Linked DNA regions of Oryzias latipes. The protein of the gene in region 2 binds, or shares a complex with, the protein of the main gene of each other region. Links are inferred from orthologs where the notes say so. Each region holds a gene or a part of one and is shown on either strand. Other genes may lie near its edges.

The links. The genes of interacting proteins can lie anywhere in the genome.
Region 1: rbm15b (region 2) and mettl3 share a complex: the UniProt entries of both Homo sapiens proteins name them as parts of the WMM complex. The link is inferred for Oryzias latipes from reciprocal best matches to the Homo sapiens genes RBM15B and METTL3.

What each region holds. Positions count from the first base shown.
Region 1 is NC_019876.2:17,631,832-17,639,025, forward strand, and holds part of mettl3 (N6-adenosine-methyltransferase catalytic subunit), read right to left. Parts: exon of another isoform or gene 7,019-7,194; intron 6,888-7,018; exon of another isoform or gene 6,756-6,887; intron 6,678-6,755; 5' UTR 6,672-6,677; coding exon 6,569-6,671; intron 4,924-6,568; coding exon 4,733-4,923; intron 4,651-4,732; coding exon 4,195-4,650; intron 2,358-4,194; coding exon 2,182-2,357; intron 1,767-2,181; coding exon 1,556-1,766; intron 1,477-1,555; coding exon 1,289-1,476; intron 1-1,288. UniProt on the Homo sapiens protein: The METTL3-METTL14 heterodimer forms a N6-methyltransferase complex that methylates adenosine residues at the N(6) position of some RNAs and regulates various processes such as the circadian clock, differentiation of embryonic and hematopoietic stem cells, cortical neurogenesis, response to DNA damage, differentiation of T-cells and primary miRNA processing.
Region 2 is NC_019863.2:6,225,603-6,233,743, reverse strand, and holds rbm15b (putative RNA-binding protein 15B), read right to left. Parts: upstream 5,039-8,141; 5' UTR 4,480-5,038; coding exon 1,987-4,479; 3' UTR 1,218-1,986; downstream 1-1,217. UniProt on the Homo sapiens protein: RNA-binding protein that acts as a key regulator of N6-methyladenosine (m6A) methylation of RNAs, thereby regulating different processes, such as alternative splicing of mRNAs and X chromosome inactivation mediated by Xist RNA.

The DNA of each region.
Region 1 (7,194 bases), on a different chromosome or scaffold from region 2:
GTCAGAAGTGCAAGTCCACCTTAAAACTCAGTCACTGCAGAACAATAAAGGTGGACACAAACTGCTTTCCTAATTGGTTTTTTAATTGATTGAGTTTAAAGACCCTCTCTAATCATCTACAGCAGTGTTTTTCAACCTTTTTTTGAGCCACGGCACACCTGACCATCTCCCACAACACACTGGTTGAAAAACACTGATCTAGAGATCTATATGAAAAGTTTCCTCAGTGGCCTTTTTATTATGATTACTCAAAAACTCAAACTCAAACTCAAAAACTCAAAAACTCAAAAAACCTGTGTCGTTTTCTAGGACATAGTTTCTGCAGAGCAGCAGGAGTTCATTAGAAATTCCCCTCTGAGTTGTGGGCGGGACCGTCACAGATAAGATCTCTTTTCAAACGGCATTTTTTTCTCTGCTGCTGATTCAAAACAGTAGGATTTTTTTTTAAACTCAGAAATACAACTTTAGGTTTCATTTCATGTCCACCATCATCAGAAAAATGACACGAGAACATCTTAAAAAACTACTTTCATCAGTCTTTAAAGTAAATAAACTTTAGGATAAATTATTTTTTCATATATGAGCAGGTTTTAGGGATCTGATACAATCTAAACTGGAATATTCACAGGAATCCTCCTATTTGAGCTGCATTCATGACGTCTCAGCTGAGATGGCGTCACAGCGGTAAAACCAGAAGCTGCTGGTTACACATTAGTCATGATGGCTTCTATGTCATGTATTCCTGACTCATGGTGTTTGAGCAGAAAGCAGATCCGCTTTGGAACGGATGGATCTACATCTGATAATGAAGCAGGTTCTGCTGCAATAAGGTTCATGTTTGAAATCCTCTAAACACCCGCCCTGATCAAAGTGGTGTTTTTGGAATTTTTAACATGTTCTTGTGGTGTTTTTCTGATGATGGAGGACATGTAGGAAGAATATTAAGACAAAAATTGTATTTCTGAATCTTCATTTAAATCGTTGCTGGACGGGCCACAAGCCTTCCTGCTCCGAGCTATTAGCAATGGCGAAGGGAAGGGAGGCGGGGACGCTCCACGCCAGCGGTCCAGCCCATAACTCTGAGGGGAGTTTCTAATGAACTCAGCAAAAATTATGTTCAAGAAAACTGCACAGGTTGTTGGATTTTGGCTAAAAATGGCAAAATCATACATAAAATGCCCCCGGAACACAAGATGATGAAAGTGGGTTTTTAAGCACTGCTGCAAAGAATAAAAGGGTGGTGGATGAGGCAGAAAAGAATCAAAGATGCTAACTCTGCTCTGGTTACCTGCCAGTGACCCAGAGGAAGAGGAAGCCGTCGTCCTGCAGGGCTGGGATGTTGAGTTTCCTCATTTCGTCGTCGGTCAGAGTCCCATAGGGCAGCTCCATGTGGATGTCCCAGGGGGGGTCAGCCATCACCACAGCAAACTTACCCAGAATCGACACGTCCAGGTAACGAATGTCGCAGCAGATCCACTGAGAAATGGAAACGCTTTGCTGAGAGACTAGAATTCCCGCTAAGAAAAGCGCTCTCCGCCTGATGTCCCCTCCTCACCTGCGATGGGAAGAGAGTGCCCACGTTGCTGTCGGCGTCCCCCGCGCAGAGGCTGACCTCCGCGCCCCCCGTCTGCGGCCCCAGGCTGCTCTCGGCCTCCGGCGGGCTGTCGATCTCGTAGTGGACGTACTTGCAGGTGTCCATGTGGAAGCAGGTGTTGAGGAAGGAGCAGTCGCCCAGGCTCTCGTCTGTGTGCTTGTTGATGATGCGACTGAGGAGCAGAAACAGCAGAAAAACCTTTAAGCTCATGAATTTAAAGCGTTTCGCTTCACGGACAAAACCTGAACTGATCGGAACAAATGTAAGAATAAAAAGATGAGCGAGAAGAGTAAAAATGTAAAATCTGAATTTTATCCTAGAATTAAAGCAAATTACAAAAAAGCAATAGAAAAAAAAAAAGTTCATCCATAGAATTTAATGAGATGTGTGTCAAAAAGCAATGGCTATATAGTTAGATGAGCTGCTTTTTGTTAGATAAATGGCGCCATCTTCAGGTTGAAATAGGTAGTTTTTTTTTTCTAATATAAATATAAAACAGTGGTTTCTTCTAATTCAGCAACATCAAACCAGAGTGAGCTTTAAGAAGTCGAGGGGTCAAATGTTGGGCTTTGAGGCAGAAATCTCACCGGAAGTGCAGCTTGGTGCACGGCTGAGGAGCGTCCCCGGAGCGGACGCACTCCTCTTTGGTCCCGTGGTTGCAGAACTCTTGGACCTGAGCGCGTCCTCGCGAGCGGAACTTCTCCACGATGGACTGCTCTTTGGCGGTGCTGGCGTTCAGCAGCTCAAGGATTTCTCTGCTCACCTGCACACATGTTCAGAAACATGATGATGATGATGAAAGAGCATTGACCTCCAACCTGGGGTCAAATGACGATCAGCTGAAAGTAAATAAAACACTAGATTGTAAATTACATTAAAAAGAAAATAAAAAAAAGCAAACTTTGAAAAAGAAAATTTGAAACAAAAATAATTCAAACTTGCGGTAAAAGAAATATTGAAAATCAGAAAAACAATTAAGTTTGAAACTTAAGTTAAAACCCCCTTTATGTCTATTGATGTAAATGTGCATCGAACCACTTCTGCTGCAAAATTAACTGAATTTATCATCTACTTGAAAGCAAAAACTCAAGTGGAATTTATTTTTTTCAGTTGCAAATAAATTCGAGTCTGGAGGGGTTAAAAAAGAACAAATCTAAAACTGTTACCAAATGAAAAATTATGTTTTTTTGTCACAGCTGCTGTTTTGTATTTTCAACATTTCTTGGTGTTGAGACCATTTTTATGTGGGAGTGGAGCTTTGTTCACATCGCCCCTGGCAACAAGAGCACTTTCATTGAAAGCTCTGTTTAAACGAGGCTTTTGCATTCAAAGCTCTCACTTTCCAGCGGATCTAAACAAATTTTGAATGCGTGTTGAAAGTTAAACCAGGTTGAACTTCAGTCAGAGACTCGTACTTAGTAGTGACGTATGGATGGTGTTCCTTTTAATTCACAAAAGTGGCAACCATTTGAACATGAATCATGGAGGAGAAATGAAGAATTGTAGTTTGTGAATTCAATGACAGCAAGTTTTTCATCTATGAGAATAGAGTTGCCAAAGATTCAACTGATTTGCACGGCTTTGACATTTCACACCAAGCCTCTTCCAACAGTAGAAAAAGAAAAGAGAGGAAAGGAGAGGAATGTGTAATTTTGAGTTTAAAACTGCTTTTTTTTTTTTTTTTTTTTACTAATTTCCAGTTTGGAATTTCACTTCCCTTTAAACTGACCCTGATTTGACCCCAAACAGACCCCAAAAATGTAAAAAATAATGAAGCAACATTTAGCTTTAAAGCTGGAAGCTTCAATCATAACAAATAAAATAAATATTTTCTAATATTATCTCATTCACAAAAATGTCTCAAAAGGATATTTTACAAGAGTATAAATTAAAAATTTTCTTAACTTTTAGGACGTGAAGTTTATTTTATTAAATATCAAACATACTCGTGGTTTGAGTCCACGCAGTTTTCAAACGTTTTTCCACTTTTTGGCCAGAAAAGACCTAATATTTTTCTCGTCTGCGAGCCACATGTGACCATCAAAAGAGCCATATATGGCTCGCGAGCCATAGGTTCCCGACCCCTGTAATATTTCATCTTCTTTACATTTACCAAACACAGGTCCAATTTTCCTTACGGTTTTGCTGCTCAACATTGTTAATGGTTTTGATAATTGGACAAACTCAACAGCATTTAGTAGAAAAGACTTGGTTGATCTCCAGGTATGAGGTTTACATTCGTTTCTAATGTATCAGTCAATATCACTGAGCAATGCATAATTATGGGTGTAGATTTTGAAGAAAAGAAATGTTTACTAAGCTAAAAATGGTGATACTTATTTCCTCTTGGCAAATTAATCGTTGACTTTTGGATTTTATATTTTCTTCTGTTTAACTTTAATCTTACACACACCAGACACCGTTTTATTTTCTCTGTTTTGATTATCCGTGTTGTACACGAACGTTCCCTTGATGTGTAAAAATACATTGAAATCCCACTTTAGACTCTTAACATTGATTACTTGCTTTCCTCCGTCTTTCTATCTGTGAAAACATCAGGAGTGAGGATTCATTTCCGGCAGAGAAAAACATTGGATCACCTTCTTGCTTTGCTGCTCCTTGGTGGACTGCTGGTTTAACAGGCTCTCGATCTCCATGTCCACGTGAGAAGACTGGCTTTTGTTGCTCCTGCCCTTCTTCTCGGCTCCGCCCCCCGACGCAGAGGAGCCAGTCAGCTGGGAGCAGGAGGCGGGCGTCAGGGAGGAGATGGATGAGCGTGGAGGAGAAGCAGAGCTCTGAAGGGAAGGCGAGAAGCTGCCGGCTCTGCTACTGAAGGCCACGTCTTCTGCTTTCCTCTTGACCGCCGTCCTCTGGGATCCCGCCACGGATCCAATCATGGCCCACAGCTTGGTGTGATCCACTGCCACCACGACGGTGGAGGAGGGAACCGCGGAGGAGGCAGAGACGGACGTGGGCTGTCGGACTTCAATGAGCTCCTGAGCTGAGAACTTTAGCAGGAGGCTCTGGATGCATCCATGACTGGCGGCAGCTTCAGGCTTCAGACAGATAAACAAAGAAATCATAGTGTAGAACGCCGCATCCAACAGGTTCTTCAATGATCCCAGAAAACCACCTTACATTGTTGAGTTCATTACTGATGGCAAGGGAGTCTATAGGCAACGAAAGACTCAGGTCAGACAGATATCCCAGCAGCCTTTTCTCCAGCTCAGGATCCGGTGGTTTTTCTGTCTCCTCCTGAGAGCTGGATGGAGCTGGTGGAGCCGGGCTGTCACTCCTGACTGCAGAGCCATCTGGGACGGTCCCACTGTCTGAGAGACCAAGAAGGACCAACACATTGCATTAGAAAAGAAAAGAAAACGCATAAACACATTTAACAGTCGGACTCCGACTATATTTATATCTATTGTTAAACCATTTCCAGTCGTCTTTTAATTATGATTATGCTGTTTTGGCCAAAAGCCTGTGTTGTTTTTCTAAAGACATTTTTTCTTTAAAACGGCAAGAGTTCATCAGGCTTCGCCTCTGAATTGTGACCCTCTGCTGATATCCCATCACCCTCTATTTACACGCTCTTCTGCTAGCTTAAAGCCCCTCAACACTCCCAGCTTGTATTAGGGGTGAAACAAAAATAGCGAGCAATATCAGAGGTATCCAGCCGTACAGTTTTGAGCTGGATGTCAGCTCAGACGAGGAAAATGAAGACGTTACTGTATCTACTTGTTTGCCAGTGGATGGATCAGAGTGGAGCGGAGCTGGGAGACTTTCTGCCGCCCATTTCAAACGCTGCATCACAACTGAAAGCTTTTCCAAATAGTGGGTTTTTATCTGCTCCTGATCCATCCATCCATCCATCTTCTTAACCGTTTTTCCCTTTCGGGGTCACGGGGCTGCCGGAGCCTATCCCGGCCACTTGTGGGCGAGGTCTGTCGCAGGGTAGAATGTCCACAAACACACCACACACTCTCACACATAGGGACAATTTAGAGTGACCAATTAACCTATGAAGCATGTTTTTGGATGGTGGGAAGAAGCCGGAGACCCCGGAGAAAACCCACACATACACGGGGAGAACATGCAAACTCCACACAGAAAAGCCCCCTGTTGATGTTGTTTTTCATGTCCCCCAGCTGGGACTTGAACCGGAGGCCTTCTTGCTGTGAGGCAAGAGTGCTAACCACTGCGCCACCGTGCAGCCTCCTGATCCATCACCATGGAAATAAAAAATACTCAAAAAAGCAGTTTTCTTGTTTTTCCCTACATCCTGAGCAAAACGCTATGAGGAGAAGAACCCCCAATAACATGATTTTCATCAGAGTCGGTCTTTAAAAAAAATTTTTGATTCCTCTGCTCCATTTAGGATTGTTCAGTTGTTAAATTTTATTTCCACTTATTTTAAGGAATCTATTGTTCAACTTGCAAACAAACAAACAAAAACCACAACAACAAAAAGAAAACAAAGTAATCTCGAATTGCTAGCTACTTACTGTAAAGTTGTTATAATAATCAACATTTGTGATTTTGCTCCTAAAATAATTTTTTAGAATCTATATATATCTTTCTAAAGACTGTGAGGAAGTTTTGAAATAAAACATTTAGATGTGCTTTTCAAATATTTTTATATTAGAAAGATTTTAAATTAACACAATAAAATTGTATATATACAGACAAAAATTTTCTTTACTGGCTTTTTTGTGTTTACAATTAATACTATAAATTGTTTACAGAGGTTTTTACTTTCGTTATGTTGTTTGGTCGCTGTAGTTCAGATAATAACCTAAATAATCAATAAAAACATCAGTTTTTTATCTGCGAGAATCTATTTGTTAATTCACTAACTTGAAATTATAACAATAAAATGTATTTTAAATCATTTATATGAACAAGCAAAAACGTAGAGGATAAAAAGTAAAGGTTGTGATTGAATGGTGTCCCTGAGACTGAGACCAGCCTAACCTGCGGACAGCTGCGTTGGGTCTTTCCGTCGCCGCTGTAGCCTTTCCCGAAGCGAATCCAACTGCTTCTTATGCGCCTGAATGTTGCTCCATGTATCCGACATGACGAGCTGGAGAAATCAACACGAAATCAGTTGCAAGTCCCAAAAATGAAGAAACTTCCAAACTAACAAAATCACCCTCGGCACCTAAAGGAGCCCCGAATGTCCGGTCCAGAGAAAAGTCTCGGGCAAGTAACTCGATTGCGGTTAATGTTTCCGCTGAAAAATTACTGCTTTATCTCAATAGTATTAATAATTACACCAACTATCAAGATGTAAAAAACACGATATTGTACTAGTATACTTGTTACTTATATTTTTACAATTTGTTATTTTTGCCCCTAAAATGAAAAATGAATTGTTTTGTCGGACTCTTTTCTGTGAAGGACCGCTTCTACTTCCCGCGTCACTGAAAATCCATTTCCGTCATGCAAAAAAACAAAAAACAAAACAAGGATTTCAGTTTATTTTTGTTACTGTTTTTTCCTCGTAGTTTTATTTTTGTCTGAGTCTTGCAGTTATAGTGCGTTTGTTTAAACATATTGTTTTTAGCCTCCGTGTTTTTTTCTCTCCGTTAGTCTTTGTT
Region 2 (8,141 bases):
CAAATTTTTATTGAGCTAGGTCCATCAACAACTTGCCCCTGACTGACTGATTAGGTTGGATCATGAGAATAGAAATCGGTTTGTCGATTATTCGTCATAACTCGTTTTAAAGTAATCTTTCTTAGTGCTGCCACTTTTACCTCCACACCCGGGTGAAATGAGGCAGGGGTGCTCAGTATGTCGATGTGGCGGCAGAGCGCGGGCCATCAGAGACAAATATATTTATCTAAATATATATATTTTTAAATCTCACCATGTAATACGTCACTCGATTGACATGCATAACGATCAAAGGAACATCCTCTGAGACATACCTCACTGTGCTTATCTACTTTTTTCTTTCTTTCTTCTTTCTCTCGGCAGACGACCACTCTGGCCCACAGGGCCGTTTATTGAGGCACCAGCTGGCCCGCGTGCGGCCTTGGTCAGATGCGGCACCTGCTGCCGGGTTTGCGGTTCCCGCCTGACGGATCCGAGCCCACGTGGGAAGCAGCGTCGTCCAGAGCGAGGCACGTGCTTCTCCAGCGCCGTCCACAGAGCGGTGGCTGCTGTTCGGTCAGCAGAGGTTACGCCCTTTAGATGTGTTATGCTCCCCAGTAGAGCATGAAACACAATTGTCACTGCTTTCATAATAAAAAGCCTGATCTGTTTAAATTCTATATTACTATAAAAATACTATTAATACTCGTGACAACCTCACAAAGATTTGTGTACTCTGTCATTTTTGAGCTATTAATACATAAACAGTATTTTTGACTGAAGATATAGTAGAAATAGTCAACTTTGAAGTTACACCACATCTAAATGATTCTTTCAAAGACTATTTTTATTTGAGTCTAATTTGTGAAATATTTTCAGACAAAATGCAGAGGAAGAAAATCTGTCTTCCATTTTAGCTTGAAGCTAACGTGTTTGCAAACGTTTTCAGGGACATTCACATGTTTTGAGCGCCGGTTTATTACGCCACTAACTTTGTTTCATCTTCTCTTGTTCCGCTTCACTAATTAGCGGCACAGACAACCTTTCAGACTAGCTTTGCACCTGAAACCCATCACACACCACCTGTCCACCCCTGCTTCAGCTCATCTCCAGTCTTGATGCAGGTTCTGGTTTTAAATAAAAATTAGGAGGAACCCTTTACACACCAAAGTTCTGAGCAGTCAACTTCTTTTGTCTCCATTTACCGCTAAGTTGTTTTTATAGGACACAGATTTTTCTTTCCCAATTATTTTTATTTGCGTCGTCTTTTACTGTCTTTTTCATCTTGATGTGAAACATCTGAAATGGTTTGATCCCATCAAAGTGCTGACATGTGATGACAGAAATTAAAACGAGTAGTTCAAGTGTGGATGGACTGACAGATTAAAAACTGAAGTTTGAAATGTCCACAATAAAAAAGAAAAATTGAAACAGTACGACTCGAAAATATTTTTTTAAAACGTCTCCACAAGGTAGTTTACATCTTTATCCATAGAAATTCATTCTAGTCCATGCAACAACAGAGAAAACACTCTGGCACCATAAAAAGCAAAGTGAAGTGTGGAATGAGCGATCTGATAAAAACACCGGCGGAGTGGTTAGGACGGCCGGGACTCTGTCTACTGGCCCAGGAGCCTTTGAACTATAAATAAAAAGTTGGTAGAGTCCAGAGAGGAGAGACTCGATCAGCCGGCATCAGCTTACAGTCCAGCTGCTCTGCAGAAAGTCTCCATGTCACTGGAGGTGTCGGCACAGGTCAGGTGACACCAGGATACAAACACATAAAGTATGAAGCATAGAAACCATCAGGCTAGGCATTAGTGTTCTCAGTTCCACCTGAAGCAGAAAGGGCGGCGTGCTGCCTGTCGGGGCGACGACCTTTCTGCTTTTTTTAATTGAATGCGTCCCGGCGTGACTGTCGGAGGGGAACCTCGACAGAGGAGTCAAAACACGCCCCCCAGCAAACCATGGAAGGACTTGTAGTGTGGGACTGAGCCGGCACCAGACTCAATTAGTGTCGCTGACGATCACAATGACCATGTGCTCCTCGTCCAGATTACCCACAGTCCTCCGGGCAGCCTGCAGGAACTGCTGTGAGAACTCACCGGGGGGGAAGGCGTACAGCATCCCACCCGTGCCCCCCTCTTTGGTGGCAGGCAGACCAACCACCCCCGCCGCCTCTTTGTTGCGCAGGTATGTCACCAGGTGCCGGAGCAGACGTATCTGCAGTCCCGGCTCAGGGGCGGGGGCCTGGCGGTCGATGGCGCCCTGCAGAGCCAGCAGGATGGCAAAGCCGTCAGGGCGGCCGAGCTTGATGCGGCGCGACACCTCGTCCAGCCGGGTCTGGTCCATGCGCAGGCGCTGGGCAATTTTCAACTGGCTTGGCTGGTTCCGGTTCTGCAGATTCAGGCTGTCCTTCAAAACGCCGCTCAGGAAGGAGGCCCCTCCCTCCAGCATGTACAGCTCCGTGGGGAAGCTGCTGTTCTTCAAGGCAAAGAAGCCCTGCCACACCTTGGTGAGGGAGCCCTGGGCGTACTCCGACAGCGAGCTCAGGGTGGACGAGGTGTCCGTGTGGGCAGCGGGGGGGCTGGCGGCGGCCACGTCGCTGTTTCGATGGTGGTTGTTGACGCTCGCGGACCTCTTGCTGTGGTGACGGCTGGATGGGGGCTCTTCCTCTGTGGCATTTGCGTGTCGCCCCCCTCCACCACTGTCAGGGGAGTGGTCTCTTGGCTCAGTGGTGGAGTCCGGGGCTCGAACCCGTGCTCGGTCTGGGCTTGCATCAGGGGAGGCGGTGCCTCCCGGAACTCGAACCCTCGACCTTCCCTTTTCTTTCTCCTTTTCCTCCGACTGCTTGTCGACAGACAGACTTCTGCTTCTCCTGCGGCTCCTCCTCTCCTCCCTCTCCTTCAGCCAGCGTTCCCTGCTCCTGCTGCGGCTCCTCGCCCCTCGGCCAGCTCTTCCAAACGCCTCCACTCCTCCCACCCTCCTGTCCAGGCTTCGGGTGGGGCTGCTGGGAAACTCTCTCTCCAGCAGGACCCTCTCTCTCAAAGAGAGGAGGCTGTGGGAGGGCGGTGAGGAGCGCTCCCTGGTTCCTCTCAGCTCGCGCTCCAGGCTGCGATGGCGACTGTAGGCCTCTCCAAGGAGGTCATAATGCGTGGGGGGAGGCACAGGAAGCTGGTAACCAGGGGGAAATGGGCGGGAGGGGCTCTCCTCCACTTTAGCAAAGTCCACCCTGAGGCGGCGCTCTGGCCCGCCCAGAGGAAAGCCCCTCATCTGGGTACAGGCGGCCTGGGCTGCATCCAAACTTTCATACTGGATGTAAGCAAAGCTGTCGCCCTTCACATAGTCAATGTTCCTAATGCTTCCAAAGCGGTCAAATTCCCGCGCCAGAGCGGTCAGCGAGTTTCCTGGTCCCAGACCGCCCACCCACAGTCGGGTGGTGGGGTTGGCTTTGCCGTATCCGATTTTAATTGGGTTTCCACCAATAAGACGGCCCTGCATGGCCACTTTGGCCCTGTGGGCCATGTCAAGGTTCTGAAACTTTACAAAGGCATAAGCCCCGCCCTGGCCGCGTGCTGGCCGTTTGATGACCACGTCCTCAATGATGCCGTATTTATCAAACCCTCTCCTGAGTTCAGCCTCCGTCACATTCCCGTCCAGGTTTCCGATGAACAGGTTGCTGGTGGCCCTCTGGTCATCCTCGGGCTTCAGGTCCTCCACTACAGGCATGGGGGGGAACGCGTAGGGCCGCCCCCTCTCATCCAGCATACCATAATAGTCCAGCAGCCTTTCCCGGTCTCTGCTCAGACCCAGGCTCTCCAGCGCAAAGTGTCTGGCCCGGAGGTCCCGCATGCTGCTCACGCCGGTCCCGGGTGGGGACAAGGAGCGCTGTCTGTACGGATAGGGGGCGTGTAAAGGTAGATAGCTGACGTCCGGGGGGGTGACGCTCCGCCTCCTAACGTACATGGGCTCTATTTTGAGCTGTCTATCACCCAGAGCCAGCCGGGAGGACTTGGCGTGCCGGGCCTCCTTGGCGTCCTCCGGCTGTCTGAAATTGACGTAGGCGATGCGGCCGAGCTCCGGCGTGTGCGACAGCTTCACGCTCACGTCCCCGAACTTTTTGAATTCGTGGAACAGCGCGTCCTCGACGTCCTCGTCCGACACCTGCGAGCCCAGGTTGCTGATGAGCAGCGTTTTGTACTCCAGCGTGCCGGGTCTCGCGGCGGGGAGCTCCGCGGCCCGCAGCGGCGGCCGGCCCAGGAGGCTGAGCTCGTGTCGGTGGTGGAGCTCCAGCGCGGCCGCGCGCTCCTCCCGAAGGCGCGGCTTCTCCCGCTCCCTGCTGCGGCTCCGCCGGTGGTAGCTCCGGCTCTCCGCCAGCAGCAGAGCCAGCGGCGGCGGCGGCGGCAGCTCCTCTCTGCGGGCGCTCTCCCGTTCTCTCTCTCGAATCCGCTTGGCTAGGGCCCTGGATGGGCTGCCGTCTCTCACGGCCTGCCGCTTCATTTTCCAATAATGATGGAGAGTTTCAACTTTTTTTCCGAGCCTGCAGCGGAGATCCGGCGCTGCTGCGGATTCCGGGAGCGTTAGCTCGGAGACGGCGGCGGCGCAGGCTGCTTCGGTTAGGGGGCGCTTCCAGAGCGGGCTCCGAGTGGTCACACATTTACGGGGAAAAGAGGAGAAGCCTTTAAAAACATGTCAGCATCACAAGAGCTGCACCAGCGCCGCCATCTTGGACAATAGGAATGTGCGCGTTCCCAAAGGAGGGCGGAGCCTGTAGTGACGCAAGCACGTTGCACGTTTTGATTTGAAAACTCCTGCATACCAAATTGTCCTTGTTTATTAGGTTTATCCATTTTTCAAAGGAAATCAAAATAACACAGCAAGCAGATGATACTGCATTATTCTTAATAGACAGAAACCACATTGACCTTGATACAAGTATAATTAATTATTTTTCAAACGCTTCTGGATTACGTCAATAGAGATTACGTCTTAGTTTAGTTAAATGTCAAATATTATTAAAAAGTTAACCCTCGTGCTAACCTATGACCCCACCCTTGCATTGACGTGTTCTTCCTACCATGACAAAGGTGGATAAAGGTGGAAAGATTTCATGTAATCCATGGACACCAGTGAAGATCACAAATCATTGAAGAAAAAAGGTTCAGAGCACTGTCTAGTGGGTCTAGATGACCCAACTCCCAATGTTAAAGTGCCTAGGATAGCACAAAGGTTAAAATGGTTAAAGAAAAACATGGTATCCCTGTTAAAAATGTAGTTACATATTTAGGCACCAGTATAACAATGGACAGAAAATCTAGACAAACACAAAACTTCTCCTTGAGAATTAGAAAAAATGCAAGATGTCATGAATATGTGGCTTCAAATAGATCTATCTATTTTTGGCGGGATCCTCTTGGCTAAAGCGAAAGGTATCTCAAGAGAAATTTCTCCTAATCTATCCTTATCTTTACTTCTGTTCAACTTCCAAAGAAATAAACAACCTCTTAGTTAACTTTGTATGGAAAAATAGACGTCACTATCTTCAGAAAGAACTATTTTATGCCCCCTCATGCAAAGGAGGTTATGAACTCCTACATTTCTCAGATTTGAATTATACATTTAATGGTTACTGGATTCAAAAAGGCCTTTAAGACTCAAAATCAATTTGGTACTTTATCCCATTTAATATTTTATAATAAAATCGGGGGTCTTCAATTTCTTTTTAAATGTAAATATCAGAAAGACTCCTGTCAATCTTTAAAATTTGTATCTGCAAGTTTTGTCGTGCCTGGACGTTATGCTATGCACATTATTTCTCACCAAACAAAAGTATAACTTGGAACAATGATGATATAACCATCAAAAATTTGATCTTTTTGATGAGAATGGCAGCCATCGATTATGACAGGTTCTTCAATAAAATGTGTTTTCCAGTAACAAGCAAAGAATTCAAGAGTGTAATGAAAGCTCTTGTCTCAGGAGTAATTCAACTACTGACTTCTAACCTTAAATATCACGAGGAATCTGAAATACACCCTCCTTTAACACTTAATGGTATTGATATTTTCAATCAAAAAATTGCAACAACAAACACATAATACTTTTAGCGAAAAAAGAAGCATAACACCTAAAGGAGAAATTTATTGGAACCATATTTTAAATTATATCAATTGGAAAAAAAGCATGGTTACTGCCAGATACATTTTGAATAAACAATAAAGTTAAAGAAATACATAAAAGAATTTCAAATAACATTTACCCCACAAATATGTTCATTTCTAAATTCTAAAGATAGATAGAAAATAACTGTAGTTTTACTTAAATCAGTTCATCACCTTTTCTACTGTTGTACATCCTTTCACTTCTGGATCCGTTTAGAACAATTTAAAGAAACAAAGTAAACTAATACATTTCAAACAAATTCTACACATTTTAACTTTGGTGATAAAATGGTAGAAAACGTTATTAATTTGTTGCTTCTCCTACCTAAATTTTTCATACAAAAGGGCAAAGTAAGAGAAAAAAAACTCCCAAATTTACTGGATTTAGGATAAGAGATTTGTCAAATTTCTTAAAAATATTAATACATCCAAGGCAATTTTTTGTAAACATAATTTTTTTACCTATACATATATATTTAATGTTTTAATTTCGTACTTGCAAATTTTCCTTTTTGTTAACTATTTCCTCATTAATCTTTTATATTCTGTATTTCTTTTTTTGAAAGATAATATTGGTTATTGCTATCTGATGGTCTGCTTGGTGATGTGATGATGTGTACTTTAATACAGTAAAAAAAATACGTACATAAAAAAAGAGTAGTCTACATGTGGGGAGCATTGAAAAAACAAAACAAAAGCTGCCTTTTTTTTTGTTGGCAAAGAGGGAAAACAGATCAATAGAGGACACTGCATCTTATGGGGTCCAGATGACCCCACCCTTACATTGACGTGTTCTCCCTACCATGACAAAGGTGGAAAGATTTCATGTAATCCATGGACACCAGTGAAGATCACAAATCATTGAAGAAAAAAGGTTCAGCGCACTGTCTAGTGGGTCTACATGACCCAACTCCCAATGTTAAAGTGCCTAGGATAGCACAAGGCTAGGATAAATAGTGCCTAGAATAGTTAAGGAGGAATTAAAAGGACAATCTGCGCCTGCTGAAACTGTCCAATAGTGGATGTTTTTCATGTACTGTGGTCATATGACGTTTAATTCTGGTTTTCGACTATTTTAACACTCTTGTCATTGTTGTTTTTATATTAGATGTACTTTTAATTAGCTCCCATTTAATTGGTTATGATTTCTTGTTTTCAATGACAATGACAGCAAATTATTAAATGTTTGAAAGTTTCACTGACCAGAGTACTGTTTAAGTTGGGTTTTACCAACGATGGCAAATAAAAACCTATGTACCTAGACCAAACCCTCACCAGGAAAACTTTTGGGACCGTAGTCTAAGGGAGGAATTCTTTTTATTCATTTTCAAAGGACAATTAATAGTTTTCTGACAAACCACTTTCCCTCTGATCATCGGAATTGTTGATTTACACCTTTTCTCTTAGTATTTGACAGAGAATGTCCCTTAATCCCAGGTGAACACCATGTGGTCCTTCAGGTACACTTGTTGCTGGGAGGTCATGTGGATCTTCTAGTTTGTGCATTTAGTGCTAGACCAGTAATCTCCTTTCAGAGTAGTAGGTTGATCATTTTGACTGGTATCATTATAGTCCAGTTTTTCATATTTTAATGAAAAAGTAGAACAGCTGTACAAATGACTTGAATGCATGTTCAGCGACCATTTGTTGTGTCGTTTTACACTTCAGTTTCCAAACCCAAGTTATTCATTTGACGGAGTTCAGGTCAGGTGAACAGAGCGGTGGCAGCTGCTCGTTCCCATTCCCACAAGGCTGTGCGATCGATACAGACGTGTTCTCCTGCTCCTCAGGAATCATTGGCCCCTGAAGACTGACTGGTTGGGTTCATGTAGTGGAGAGAGTTGCTCTCTGGACTGAACAGAAACTCTTAAAGCTTCATGAATATTTTACCTATGCGTTAGAGACTGAGTTGGCTTCAAAGGTACAGGTGAGGAGCAAACACAGATTTGAAGAAGAATGCAGCGTTCATCCATTCTGCACTCCAGAATCCCTTTTCAGCTC